2 linked regions of the Drosophila melanogaster genome follow. The protein of the gene in region 1 interacts with the protein of each later gene in a pairwise test. Each region holds a gene or a part of one and is shown on either strand. Other genes may lie near its edges.

What was found.
Region 2: the proteins of CG13088 (region 1) and Hey interact in a two-hybrid assay, tested with the Drosophila melanogaster proteins (one large-scale study listed by BioGRID).

What each region holds. Positions count from the first base shown.
Region 1 is NT_033779.5:8,487,052-8,492,969, forward strand, and holds CG13088 (uncharacterized protein), read left to right. Parts: upstream 1-1,929; 5' UTR 1,930-1,979; coding exon 1,980-2,157; intron 2,158-2,214; coding exon 2,215-3,134; intron 3,135-3,189; coding exon 3,190-3,297; 3' UTR 3,298-3,495; downstream 3,496-5,918. Other genes in the region: dachs, read left to right, coding at 1-630, 694-851, 919-1,164; CG43400 (uncharacterized protein), read left to right, coding at 3,775-3,900, 3,959-4,171; Dh31 (diuretic hormone 31), read right to left, coding at 5,616-5,751, 5,916-5,918.
Region 2 is NT_033778.4:7,994,938-8,000,955, reverse strand, and holds Hey (Hairy/E(spl)-related with YRPW motif), read left to right. Parts: upstream 1-2,677; 5' UTR 2,678-2,863; coding exon 2,864-3,123; intron 3,124-3,536; coding exon 3,537-3,751; intron 3,752-4,492; coding exon 4,493-5,295; 3' UTR 5,296-5,518; downstream 5,519-6,018. Other genes in the region: CG11191 (uncharacterized protein), read left to right, coding at 1-75. UniProt on the Drosophila melanogaster protein: Transcriptional repressor which acts as a downstream effector of Notch signaling.

The DNA of each region.
Region 1 (5,918 bases):
TCCACACCAGGCTAGACAATTTGCTGAGAACCCTGGTGCACGCCAGGCCGCACTTTGTGCGCTGCATCCGAAGCAATGGAACCGAGGCGGCTCGCAGCTTTGATAGGGCTACGGTGGTGCGCCAGATTAGATCCCTGCAGGTCCTGGAGACGGTCAATCTAATGGCCAGTGGGTTCCCGCATCGCATGCGCTTTAAGCAGTTCAATGCCCGCTACCGTATGCTAGCCCCATTCCGCCTCTTGCGCCGCAGCGAGGACAAGGCTCTGGAGGATTGCCAGTTGATTCTGAAGTACGCAATGGAGCAGCCGCCAGTGCTGGATGGCTCGGTGACCCTGGCCTGGGCACCTGGCAAGCGTCATGTCTTCCTTAGCGAGGGCATTCGCCAGCACTTGGAGCACTTGCGCACCGAGATCAGGCACAAGAGCGCCACCCTGATGCAGGCCACCTGGCGAGGCTGGTGGTGGCGCAAGAAGATGGGCAATGGCGGGGCCAAGCGCTCCAAAATCCCAGGTCTTCAACAGGCGCCACTGCCGAACAACAAGACCACGCCGAACTCCGCCGCACAGAACAAGGCCGCATCCTCCACAATGGCCGCCCTTGCCGCTGTGGCAGCTGCTGCTCCCATTTCTGGTGAGATTCCCCCACGGGTATACCCATTCTCCGCCCATCTAATCCCCAAACTCTATGATGCAGTACCACGCCTCTCGGCCAAGACAACGAGCCTGGGCATTGGAGGCACTGTGGCCAGACCAAGGCCACAGCCCATTGCTGGGACTCCTCCGCCGGATCCGCAGGAGAAGTGCGACCAGAAGATCATTCAGCAGACCTGTAACCTGTTTGGACTCGATTTGGTATGTGTTTTCTATTATTATTGCTTGCTTGATTTTATTGAAATATCCAACTACTTTTATTTAACAGGAACGTCCGCCGCCAGTTCCGCCGTCTCGTTCCTACACGATCACCGGGAATTCGAAAATAAGCTATCCCCAAAACCGGGTCATGAAGATGAACTTTCCAGAGGAGGGACAGTCGGAGGCGCCGCAGCTGAAGAAGGGCGAAGCGGTGACCGTAGTGGGGGCCTCCACCGTTCGGGGTCACCTGATGGTGGAGCACAAGGGGCAGAGCTTCCACGTTCCCTTCCAGTTCATGACGCTCAGTAAATAAGGACTACTGGTGGAAACAAACTGGTTATGATTCCATTCATTCCATCTGTTCAACTCTTCCTGATTTTAGACATCCCATTTCTAAAAGACTGTAAATATTCCATTTGGTAGATTAAATAACAAGCATTCTGTCTACGAAGCGCATGCTAACTGAGGTGCTCTAATTGGCCCCTAACTTACGTAGTATTATTATTGTCGCGTTAATAAATAAACGCCAATCGATAGGTTGTAGCTTCAATTACATACCCACAAGTGCCAATCAAATAAGTTCTTCCACCTAATTCATAAGTATTTTACATGTTACTGAGATTACATTATTCGCCGTTAAGTAATTAGTTAAGTAAGTTTCAACAACGACATTCATTTTTTATTTTTGAGTTCACTTAAGAATTGTGAATTTTATTAGACTAAGGTTCATTTTGTCATTCAAATAAACGAAGCATGCATTGAAATATTTAAATTATCTTATTTTATTTCATAAAAAGGAGATGTTTCTGCAAAATAAGTTAATTTTCCGTTTATGATAAGAAAACGAGTTTGTTTTGGTCTGCTAGAAAAGGAAGTAAGTATTCCTTAAATGTCCCATAAATAAACTAATAAGAAAAATAACTTCACGATAAAAGTTCTTTTTTTCGCGCGTTCATTTTAAATATTTTGATACGTTGATTCTATATACTAATAGTGTTGGAAATTGCCGCATTGCATTCAAGCAGTTCAAATCCAAGTAGTTCAAGTCTCAAACGGCAAGCATGCAAACAAACAGCTGACAGTATTTGTTTTTGGTAATCTCGTTTTGAACAAAAATTTCGATGTGAGATGGAGCAAATAAATGAAGATGTTTGGATAGATATACTAAAGTACCTACCAATGAGGGATCAGTTGTCGCTGGTCGAAGTCAACGAGAATATATCGGCATACGTGAAGTATCATTGGAGTCATCTCAAAACAGTGACTCTGACCCGCGAGGATCTGGATTTTCTGGATCGGAATAACAGTTAGCGCTGATGTTATAAATTCGATCCATTAATAATATATGTAACTTTTAACTTAGAGCTGATGCACGAATGTCTGGGTGGCTGGTCGGCAACGGTGGAGCGTTTGAATTTGCAAAGTGCCAGCAGTGATCTGCTGAGAAAGTGGACGGAATACGACTTTCCCCACCTCCGATCGCTCGACTGCCACATGGACTACAATCTCGAGGAGGCGGACGAGGAAACCCTTCTGCTAACCGAGCTGTTCCCGCTCTTGACACGGCTGTCACTCAATAGCAGCACAACAGGTCGTTACTTGTGGCACTGGAAGCAACTAAGGGAGTTGAATCTCACCTGGTGTGAGTACCTGGACCCAGACCACTTCGAGGAGATCTTTGGCAACCTACAGCTGACCAAGCTGACTATGCTCTATTACGGATATAACGTGAACCTAGGCGAAAAAGTTGTGGACATAACGCGATGTACCACGCTTGAAGAGCTGCACATCGATGACCACCATTTGCTGGGTGATTTCCTGCCCCGACTGATGAATCTGCCGCACTTCCGCCGCTTGGCCTTTTACACGCGAGACTACTATGAGTATTTGCTAGGTTCGGTGGCCAGGCACAAGCCGCTGAAGGTTCAATCGCTTCTCTTCAACGACTCTTTCTGGAGCAGTGAACGGGTGGCGGGAAGTATACTGCACATGACCAATCTTCGTCGGCTGGTCCTGCAGGAGGATGACATCGATGCGCAGCAGCTGCACACCATCTGCCACAAATTGCCAAACTTGGAGGAGCTACACCTTTTGGCGATGCGAGAAGTTCCGTCTCCCAGCCACCTGTGGAACTCTATAGGTCACTGCCATCTTCTTAGGATTCTTAACCTATCGTCTACCAAGCTGGTGGACCTCCGAAGCTCCTGCCTGACAAAAGTTCTGCTAAGTCGCAGGATTCCACTGACCCTGCATCTCCACAACACTGGATTGGATCCTAGTAAAGTAAGTTAAGCACAACATATTGTTCAATGACTACTAAGTTTAATTATCTCCGTAGGTTCTACGGGATTTTGATAGTGCCTCCTTGAAAATCTCCTTTGAGCCGATCCATTTGAATATTTGGAGTCCGCGATTTGTGGAAATCGAATTCAGTCCAGACTCGTAGTAGTCATTTGAAAAGACTTAAATGACATTTCTACCTCAATCCGTCCGGTATACGAATATATATGTAGATGGAGATCCAAATGATATATCCTGAGTAAAATGTTGTACCCTTTGCAAGGGTATAGAGTCAAATAGCTTAACAAAACCACAAAATCTTTTATCTGTCTACCTACCAAAATCGTATTAAATTCAAGAAAATAATCATTTGTCTTTTAAACTTCAGACGTACTACTTTCGATTTTTAGAAATTAAAGCTTCAGATGTAACAACAAATATAGGCTGCTAAGATTTCACAAGAACAATAAATAAGAATGATAAGTATTTATCTTTATTGGGGCCAGTTCACCAAGCTTTGTTTACCTGCGAAACCGAAATGGATAGCAAACATTTTGCCTCAAGGCAGTTGTGCATTAGAACTCCTTCAGTACGGTTACCATTGGTAATGGATCGGACAAATCTAAATGAATTGAAACATAAAATGCGTCGGATTTTGCATTGTGGACACAATGAGACTGCGGAACTAAAATACAAATTGTTTGAAGTTCAAAAAGAACTGGATGAAGCTAATGACTTTATTGCCGAAATAAAATTTGAATTGGATAGTGTAAGGTGTTGCACATCCACATTCGTTCAACATGTAATCGACTTCTATCTGAGCATAGGTTGATATACTGGCACTCCAGAATCAGTGGCTGCGCGATGAATTGATGATGCTAAAGGCCGAGGAGATGGGTGTGATTCATAGGGACTTGGAGGAGGATCCAGCAACTCAAAGGGAGCGTCGCAGCTATCGACAGCAAGTTTCTGCTGGAATGGTGTCACCTCAGCTTGAAAGCCCACTCCAGGAGCAGCGATACGGACGCAAACTGGATTAAACTAATGGCTGATTACATTGCTCGAAATCTGAATTTATTTATCATTAATGATATTGTATGATAAATCTATGCCATTAGCCGCTTCCGACTACACGCAAACCACTTAAAATATAAGACTTATCTTTGTTGTCACACTTCATAAAAGTATATTTCTGAATCAGAGAACTGAAATAAACTCAGTATTTGATAAAGATACAACAAGATAAACTGCGCCTAATTAGGTTTACATTTTTTCAGTTAATAATTATCGATTCCCACTTTGACGCATTTATATTTGCACAAAATATATATTTATGTGTCTACGTTTAATTACACACCTATCCCATTTATTACCAACTGCGAATTGAGTGTGTTGAAATTTATGGTACCTCAAAGTCCACTTATCTGGCCATCTCATCTGACCTTTCGAACTCCATGCATAAATCAGTCGATCCTAACTCGCCTGTAAATAAATAAAATCAATTGCATTTGCAGCTGGCTAGCTTTCTTAATGGCTGGTTGGTTCGATTTGTAATGCATTTGCAACTCCCAAACGGAAAGATACATTTTATGAGCTCAGAGTGCGTCAGGTGTGCGAAAGATAAATTGCTTATTTCCAAAATGGAGGAACCCCCCTTTAAAGAAATAACGAAACTCAAACCAGTTCTCAAAATGTAGACTTTTATTTGATCGTGTCCGACTCACGTTAAGATATATGTTTGCAGCATAGACACAATAATTATTAAATATATATGCAAGTAGAATTCCGTAATATATTTGTATCGCATTAGTTGTACGTGTGCTTTAATAATTTATATTTACAATACTTAAAAGTCGCGTGAGACCAAGTTGGCTATTGATAAAATAAACTTTCAGTTTCGTTGGGGTTTTTTTGTTTTTGTTGGCTTCATTTTGGGGGCCAAAAGTGTGTTGTTAGCATATAAGTATGTATATTTGTGTAGATCTTTTTTTTTAAATTTTTGTTAGTTTATGTAAGACATACCTAGTTAAAGATTTTTTGCGCGATTATGCTTACACTTGAATATATATTTAGGATATATTTATTTAAATTTCTCCCTTCTCTCTTTACCTTTCTTCCATATTTTCGGGTTAAAACGAGCAATTAGCACTGAGTTAAATCTGGGATGAAAATTTGCATAAATTGTTTTCAACATTTTTTCTTTCGGAGCAACAGTTTAACGCTTTTATTCGCCTTTGGTATATATAATTTCGATATCTGTTGAATATTATTTTCGTATAACTCTTGAAGGGAAAAAAAATTTTGATGAATTGCATGAGGACATTTCCGTAATAAATATTTATGTACAATGAATAACAAACAATTAAACGTAATGCAAATGAAAGATCTAGGAAAGTATCAAAGTATGGGCCAAGTTTAGGTGGAAAAAGTTGACGTTCGTCCTCAACGTTCACAGGATTCGCAGCCCGGTCTCATCCAGACGCCTTAGACATCGGTCTCGGATCGTCGCCTCCGACCGGGTCCTCCGGCAAAGTTGGCTGCAGCCAGACCCATGCGATGTTTCGCCTCCTGGGTACCCGAATATCCCCGGGCCAAGCCAAAGTCCACGGTTCGTTTGGAACTTTGGAAGAGAAAGAAGTTTAGCAGTTACAAATGATTTGGTTAGATTAGGCTCTAACAATTAACCTTACTACTGGTAGCATTTAAATGAGTAAGAGAACTTTAGTTGCACATATGTATTAAACAATTTCTAATTAGACAGTTATATCTGTCTTCAATACTTACTTC
Region 2 (6,018 bases), on another chromosome or scaffold:
CTCAGCCTGGAGCTGCACCGACACGACAATGCAGTAGGCGGAAACAACTGCAATCTTTGCCTTAGGAGCTTCTGAGACCGGAAACGGACACTCGGCGGCTTTGTAACCTCCACTTTGCGTCCAGCGATAGAGCACGAAAACCAGTCTTGTGAGAATTACCTACATACGAGTATATTATACATATATGTAATCGAGTATTTGAGTCGGTAGACCGCAATTTTCATTATAGAAAGTTGTTTTCGAGAATATCCATTAACAATAAAGTGTGTATGTGTGTGCGGCGCCATACCTTTGGCTCCATACCTTGAGTAATGCACTTCAGAATGCGAATACGAATGCGAATGCCCTGTGCCCCGTGGGTGGGAGTAAGTTCATCGCCCACCCATCCATCCATCGATCCATTCCGGCGCACGACCCGCACGTGTGCTGGACGCTCGTGAGAATCCGTAGACCTTTGGCTTTCCCACGAGCCACGGCTGCGATTTCGTGGGTTCGTCCCGTTGTCGGTGGTGCAACTTGCCCGCCACTATTCATCCACTTGATTTGGGGTGGGTTCCGGCGATTCGGAGCGAGTTTGTCCCACGCTGGCACTGCCACTGGCATTGGCCATTAGACATTAGGCATTTTCACTTTGCTGCTTGCCGCACTCGAAACCTGAGCGACAGCATGCCGAATCAAATGAAAAGCACTTTTTATAATTTTCGATTTTGATGTACGTTTTTGAAATTGATACGGGGCTCCATTATAGTCAAGCTTACGCCTCGACCATCGAAATTAATCGAGAAAATGGGAGAAATGCTACACTAAATCATTTTGTGGGGGAGAATAACTAATGATATTTCCAGTTATATGCGAAATTGCAACATATAATAGTAAAGGGATATAAAAGTATATACAATAGTATAGGGATTCATATAGCAATATTGGGATTCTTTAGGGTGACAGGACAAAGGAGTTGAAATGAACATTTTAACATAGATATCTACAGAAGAATTATTTTTGCATAACGATAATTCAAGTATAGTTTTTATTAGGGAAAGTTATGTCAAACCACAACGTACATATATATGTAAATATATCAGCTCCACCGTATACTGTTTTTCATTCGCATTTTAATTGTTTTTAATCTACTGCTAGCTTTAAACACACATTCCGTGCGGCTGATATAAGAAATAATGGGAAATTTTGGATGAAATAGTTTATCATAATAAAATTTATAGGTAATATTGACATTGATCAGCTTGTTATATTGAATTTATGAACACAATACTGTCAAAATATATTACATTAAAGTTAATGGGGAAACATTAACCAAAACAGACAGAACGTTAATTTCGATGTTAACTATCTCAGCTTGTAAAATCATTAGAAAAACTGACAAATTTTGGTGGAATAGCGATCAAAGCTGTCAAAAAAAATAGTGAAATCAAAAATATCAAAACATTTTTCAAAAGTTTTAGATTGACAGCTTGTGGCCATTAGACTGGGAGTGGCCAAAATATTTTTAAAAAATATGACAATTTTGCAAAAGTATGGACGTGGCAGTTTTAGCCGGTTTGTGTCCTTAAGAGTAGGCGTTGCAATCTTCTGTAACAATCTAGCTCTTAATCCTAGTAACTAGTTTTACATTCATGCTTTTATAGTTCCCGAGAGCTCAGCGTTCATACAATTACAAGGAACAATTAAGGAAGTTATAAGATTAGCCAATTCAGCAAAAAATTTAGAATGGATTAAATCATGTGAATATTCGAAATGCAGTGACAAAGCGCATCTAAGAGTTTATAATGGCAAATCAAAAAGATAAAGAAAAAGATAAAGCTCACGTCTGCTTTTTCGTAAAATTGTACAACATATTTACGTTTTACCGTCGCCATCCAAGTTCCTTATATCCCTTTGTGATGAAACGCTGCTTTCGATAACATTAAAGTGAATTATTTCCGCATTAGCATATTTCTAGGTAAACAAGTCGATTTTACCTCGGGCAATTTCTAGGTCAACTTCGGTCACCTGCTGCCGCAGTCGTTGTTATCTCGTCTCCTGCTCCTGCTTCTGCACCTGTGGATGTTCCCGTTCCCATTCCGGACCCGGGATGCCGCAACCTTGAGCCGGCACTGACCTAGAACTGTGTGGGCCACCCACCAGCACGCGTCCCACTGCACAGATAGAGGTCAACGGCGGCTGTTGCACTTGTTGGGGCTTTACCCGGCGCCACGCGATGCCACACGACCGGCGCGTGCTCCAGTTTGAGTTCCATGGACGGGTGCAGCCGCTCCAGCGGCAAACAAGTGGACGGCGGACGCCGCCAGTTTGTCGCCCACGGCGCCGATTAAAGGCCGTGCTGCAGATGCTTTAGATGCTTTAGATGCTTTAGAGGCTGCTGAAAGGCTATATCAGATGGTCGGGCGATACAATCGGATGAATCGATGACAGAGGCTTGCTCATTTGCCGGCGCTGGTCGCTCCTTGTCGCACACTCTCACTTGCTCACTTGGCGGCGATCGCCGCGCGGCGAATATGTTTGCTTCCCGTTTCCTACCCCAATCTCGGCAAGCACGCGCTGCGCGTTGCCAGGGGGTGGTTGCTGCTGCATCTTATTGGACGGCTGCCGCAGGCGGTAAAAAGGGGTTGAGCGGCGGCAGCGGAGGGCAGGTCGTCCGCTCGACGTGTGCTACAGAATCAGTCGAACGCCGTTCGCGCACACGATAAGTCACGTGCTCAAACTAGCTCCGCCAGCCCGGTCTAGCCGCCAACTGCATCTGCCTCTGCAACTAGCAGCACGCAAAGCTACAGCTCAGCAACAGCAACATCAACACAGTAGTGTCAAGTGCGCAGGAGCAGCGAGTAAACACTGGTCACCACACACAATGGATCACAACATGCACGTCAATGCGCCATCGCTGCATCACTGGGGCTACGCCGCCGGACCCGGCGTGGTCATGCCCGGCGCCACCGCCACCACACCCCAGAGCCACTGGGTGCCGCCGCCGCAGAGCCACCACAGCGCCCACAGCAACCACAGCCACGGGCATAGCCAGGGCCATAGCCACGGCATCGGCAGCCTGAAGCGGACGCTTTCCGAGAGCGACTGCGACGATCTCTACTCCGAGGAGTCCTCCAAGGAACAGTGCGTACTCGTGACTTCTTATCAAAATTTGTTTTTCAATTTAGTGCACAAAAAGCTATTCGCAGTTCCCAAGTTAGGAGTTGTCTTGTAAAATGAAACCTTTGAAAATACCATGCGATGTGCAAACGTTTTATGTTGCTAAAAAAAATAGTGCGTCATGATATTTACTTAGTGAATCGAAGTCATGGATAACTCCACTTAACGCAAAGTTGCTGATAAACCATCAAAATATAAATCACTAAACTATAGGGTTTTAAGAAAAGATAGATTTTAAAATGTTCTGTAACTTAGAGGTTTTTTTAGTAACACCATAGAGTGTTTTTCAGTCTATGAAAGATTAAGATATTAAGATTAAGAATCTATCATTAACTTCAATCCATAGCTAATAGAAACCCTTTCCTCTGTTCCATTAGAATCTCGCCCAGTGAGCCGGGCAGCTGCCAACTGATGAGCCGCAAGAAGCGACGCGGAGTGATCGAGAAGAAGCGGCGGGATCGGATCAACTCCTCGCTCACCGAACTCAAGCGCCTGGTGCCCTCCGCCTACGAGAAGCAGGGATCCGCCAAGCTGGAGAAGGCCGAAATCCTTCAGCTGACCGTGGAGCATCTCAAGAGTCTGCAGTCTAAAAGTAAGTTTACCAAGCCCACTTGAGCTAGCTTAAAGAGGTTTTAAAAAGCAAATAGGCTAGCTGCACCACAGACCTCCTCACTGAAGTTAAACGCTTCTATGGGTCATTAATCACAATAGGAGCAAATAGAGGGTTAACTTGGGCAGCCAACTAAGTTGGTTAACTAAAAGAAGTAAAGTGTAAAGAAAGTAATTTCTTATTTCGACAGTTAATATTACATTAGGGCCCATTTAGCGCACTAATTAATCAAGGCATATCTGACATACATATGAACTTCAATACATTATAAAAAATTGGAATGGGAAAAACTGCAAGCAGAATCCCTAAACGCAAGCCGCTGTGGGAAACAATTGAGTAACGATATTAAATACAATATGCGGCAAATTATCACAAATCTGGGTAAACAATCCTGACCTGTTGTCCCGAACAGGGTCGAATTGTGGGAAAATTATGATTGCCGTAGGCAAAGCAGGACCACCACCACCAGCGCCAGCCTAGCGCTCAAGTGAATCTCGAATCTCGGGGCTTCCCACGCTCAGTAGCGGCACCACCACGATGGCAACCTTGTAGCCAGGCGCGGGCTTTCACCCCCCGATAGCCACCTCACAACAAGCCATCCCGCCGAAGGACATGGGGGTTGTTCTTTATGCTCGTCGCGTGGGAACAGCTATTTTAATTGTTTGCCTGAACTGGGATTAGACAGCTTATTGACTTTCTCCACCTCCTCGTATCTTGTTGCAGCTCTCGACTCGCTTAGCTATGATCCGCAGCGAGTGGCCATGGACTACCATATCATTGGGTTCCGCGAGTGCGCCGCAGAGGTGGCCCGCTATTTGGTCACCATCGAGGGCATGGACATTCAGGATCCTCTGCGCCTGCGCCTTATGTCCCACCTCCAGTACTTTGTGCAGCAGCGCGAACTGTCGGCCAAGAGCTGCGCCAGTCCGGGTGGCTGGTCTCCGGCTGCTCCCAGCTCCTCCGGCTATCAGCCAAACTGTGCGGCTGCTCCCTACCAGAGCTATGCGGCGCCAGCCAACCCGGGTGCCTATGTGTCCAGCTACCCCACACTAAGTGCCTCGCCCTCTCAGCAGGCTCAGCAACTGGGAGGACGCACCAGTGTCTCGCGGACAAGTGGAAGTGCCGTAACTGAATCGCTGCCCAGCCATGATCTCCACTCTGACAGCAGCAGCCAACAGCAGCAGCAACAGCAGCAGCAACAGCAGCAGCAGCAGCAACACCAACAGCAGCAGCATCAGCAGCAACAGCAACGGACGCAGACAACACCTCAGCCGACGCAGCAGCAACACTATACCCACGACCACAGCGCAGTGCATTCCGAGCAGCAGGTTCCCACCTACATAGAGCTGACCAACAGCAATCGTCCAGCGGCCATAGGTTCCGATAGCCTTAGCTATAGTGCTGCTCCTCAGTATCCGGTCAGCGGACTGCCAGGCCAGGACTACAACAACTCCAGTGTGCTGCAGTACGCCACTCCCAACGGAGCAAAGCCCTATCGTCCTTGGGGCGCCGAGATGGCCTATTGATTGTGGGCATAAGCCTCAGAAGGGATATTTCAACCTCTAGTCAGAGCAGACCAAGTGTGATAGTCTTAAGTTTCGCATCCTACACAGAGAGAAAAAAATGGAGAAACAACGCAGTGAGATTAGCTAGTCCCGTAAGCCTTTAAGCTTAAGTTATACCCTATGATAACTATAACTTTGAACACTTTGTGAATCTATTGTAAATAAACGCATGAGTGTATAAGTGAATATGTTGAAACTCGCTTGATAATTGATATTCGGATCAGGAAAGCCTTTCTAGTTGTTATATTTCGTGAAATCTCGACGTTCATACAGACGGACAGACGGACATGGCCAGATTGAATCAGGTATTGATTCCGATCAAAAATATATATATAATATATAATATATAAGAATATATATAATCCACGAGTAACGGGTATAATTATTAAAAACAATCAAAAAAGTTTAAACAAGTAGTGACGATCCACATTCAAAAATTTGAGGTATATCAATGACGCATACTTTGATTAGTGCTATTATTGGATTATCAGAGAAAATATTAATTTTAACGAACATTCTTGAGGTGCGCTTTGTCACTGCGAGGACTACCAGTTCGCCGTCATAGCGGCTGAATTATCCTTAGCTAAATGGGAACAATTCGTTGCAGCGAAAAATTTACCGAATTCTTTTTAGTTTTACACGTCAGATAGCTTAGGGTTTCTAAAAAAAAATTCCAAGAAATTA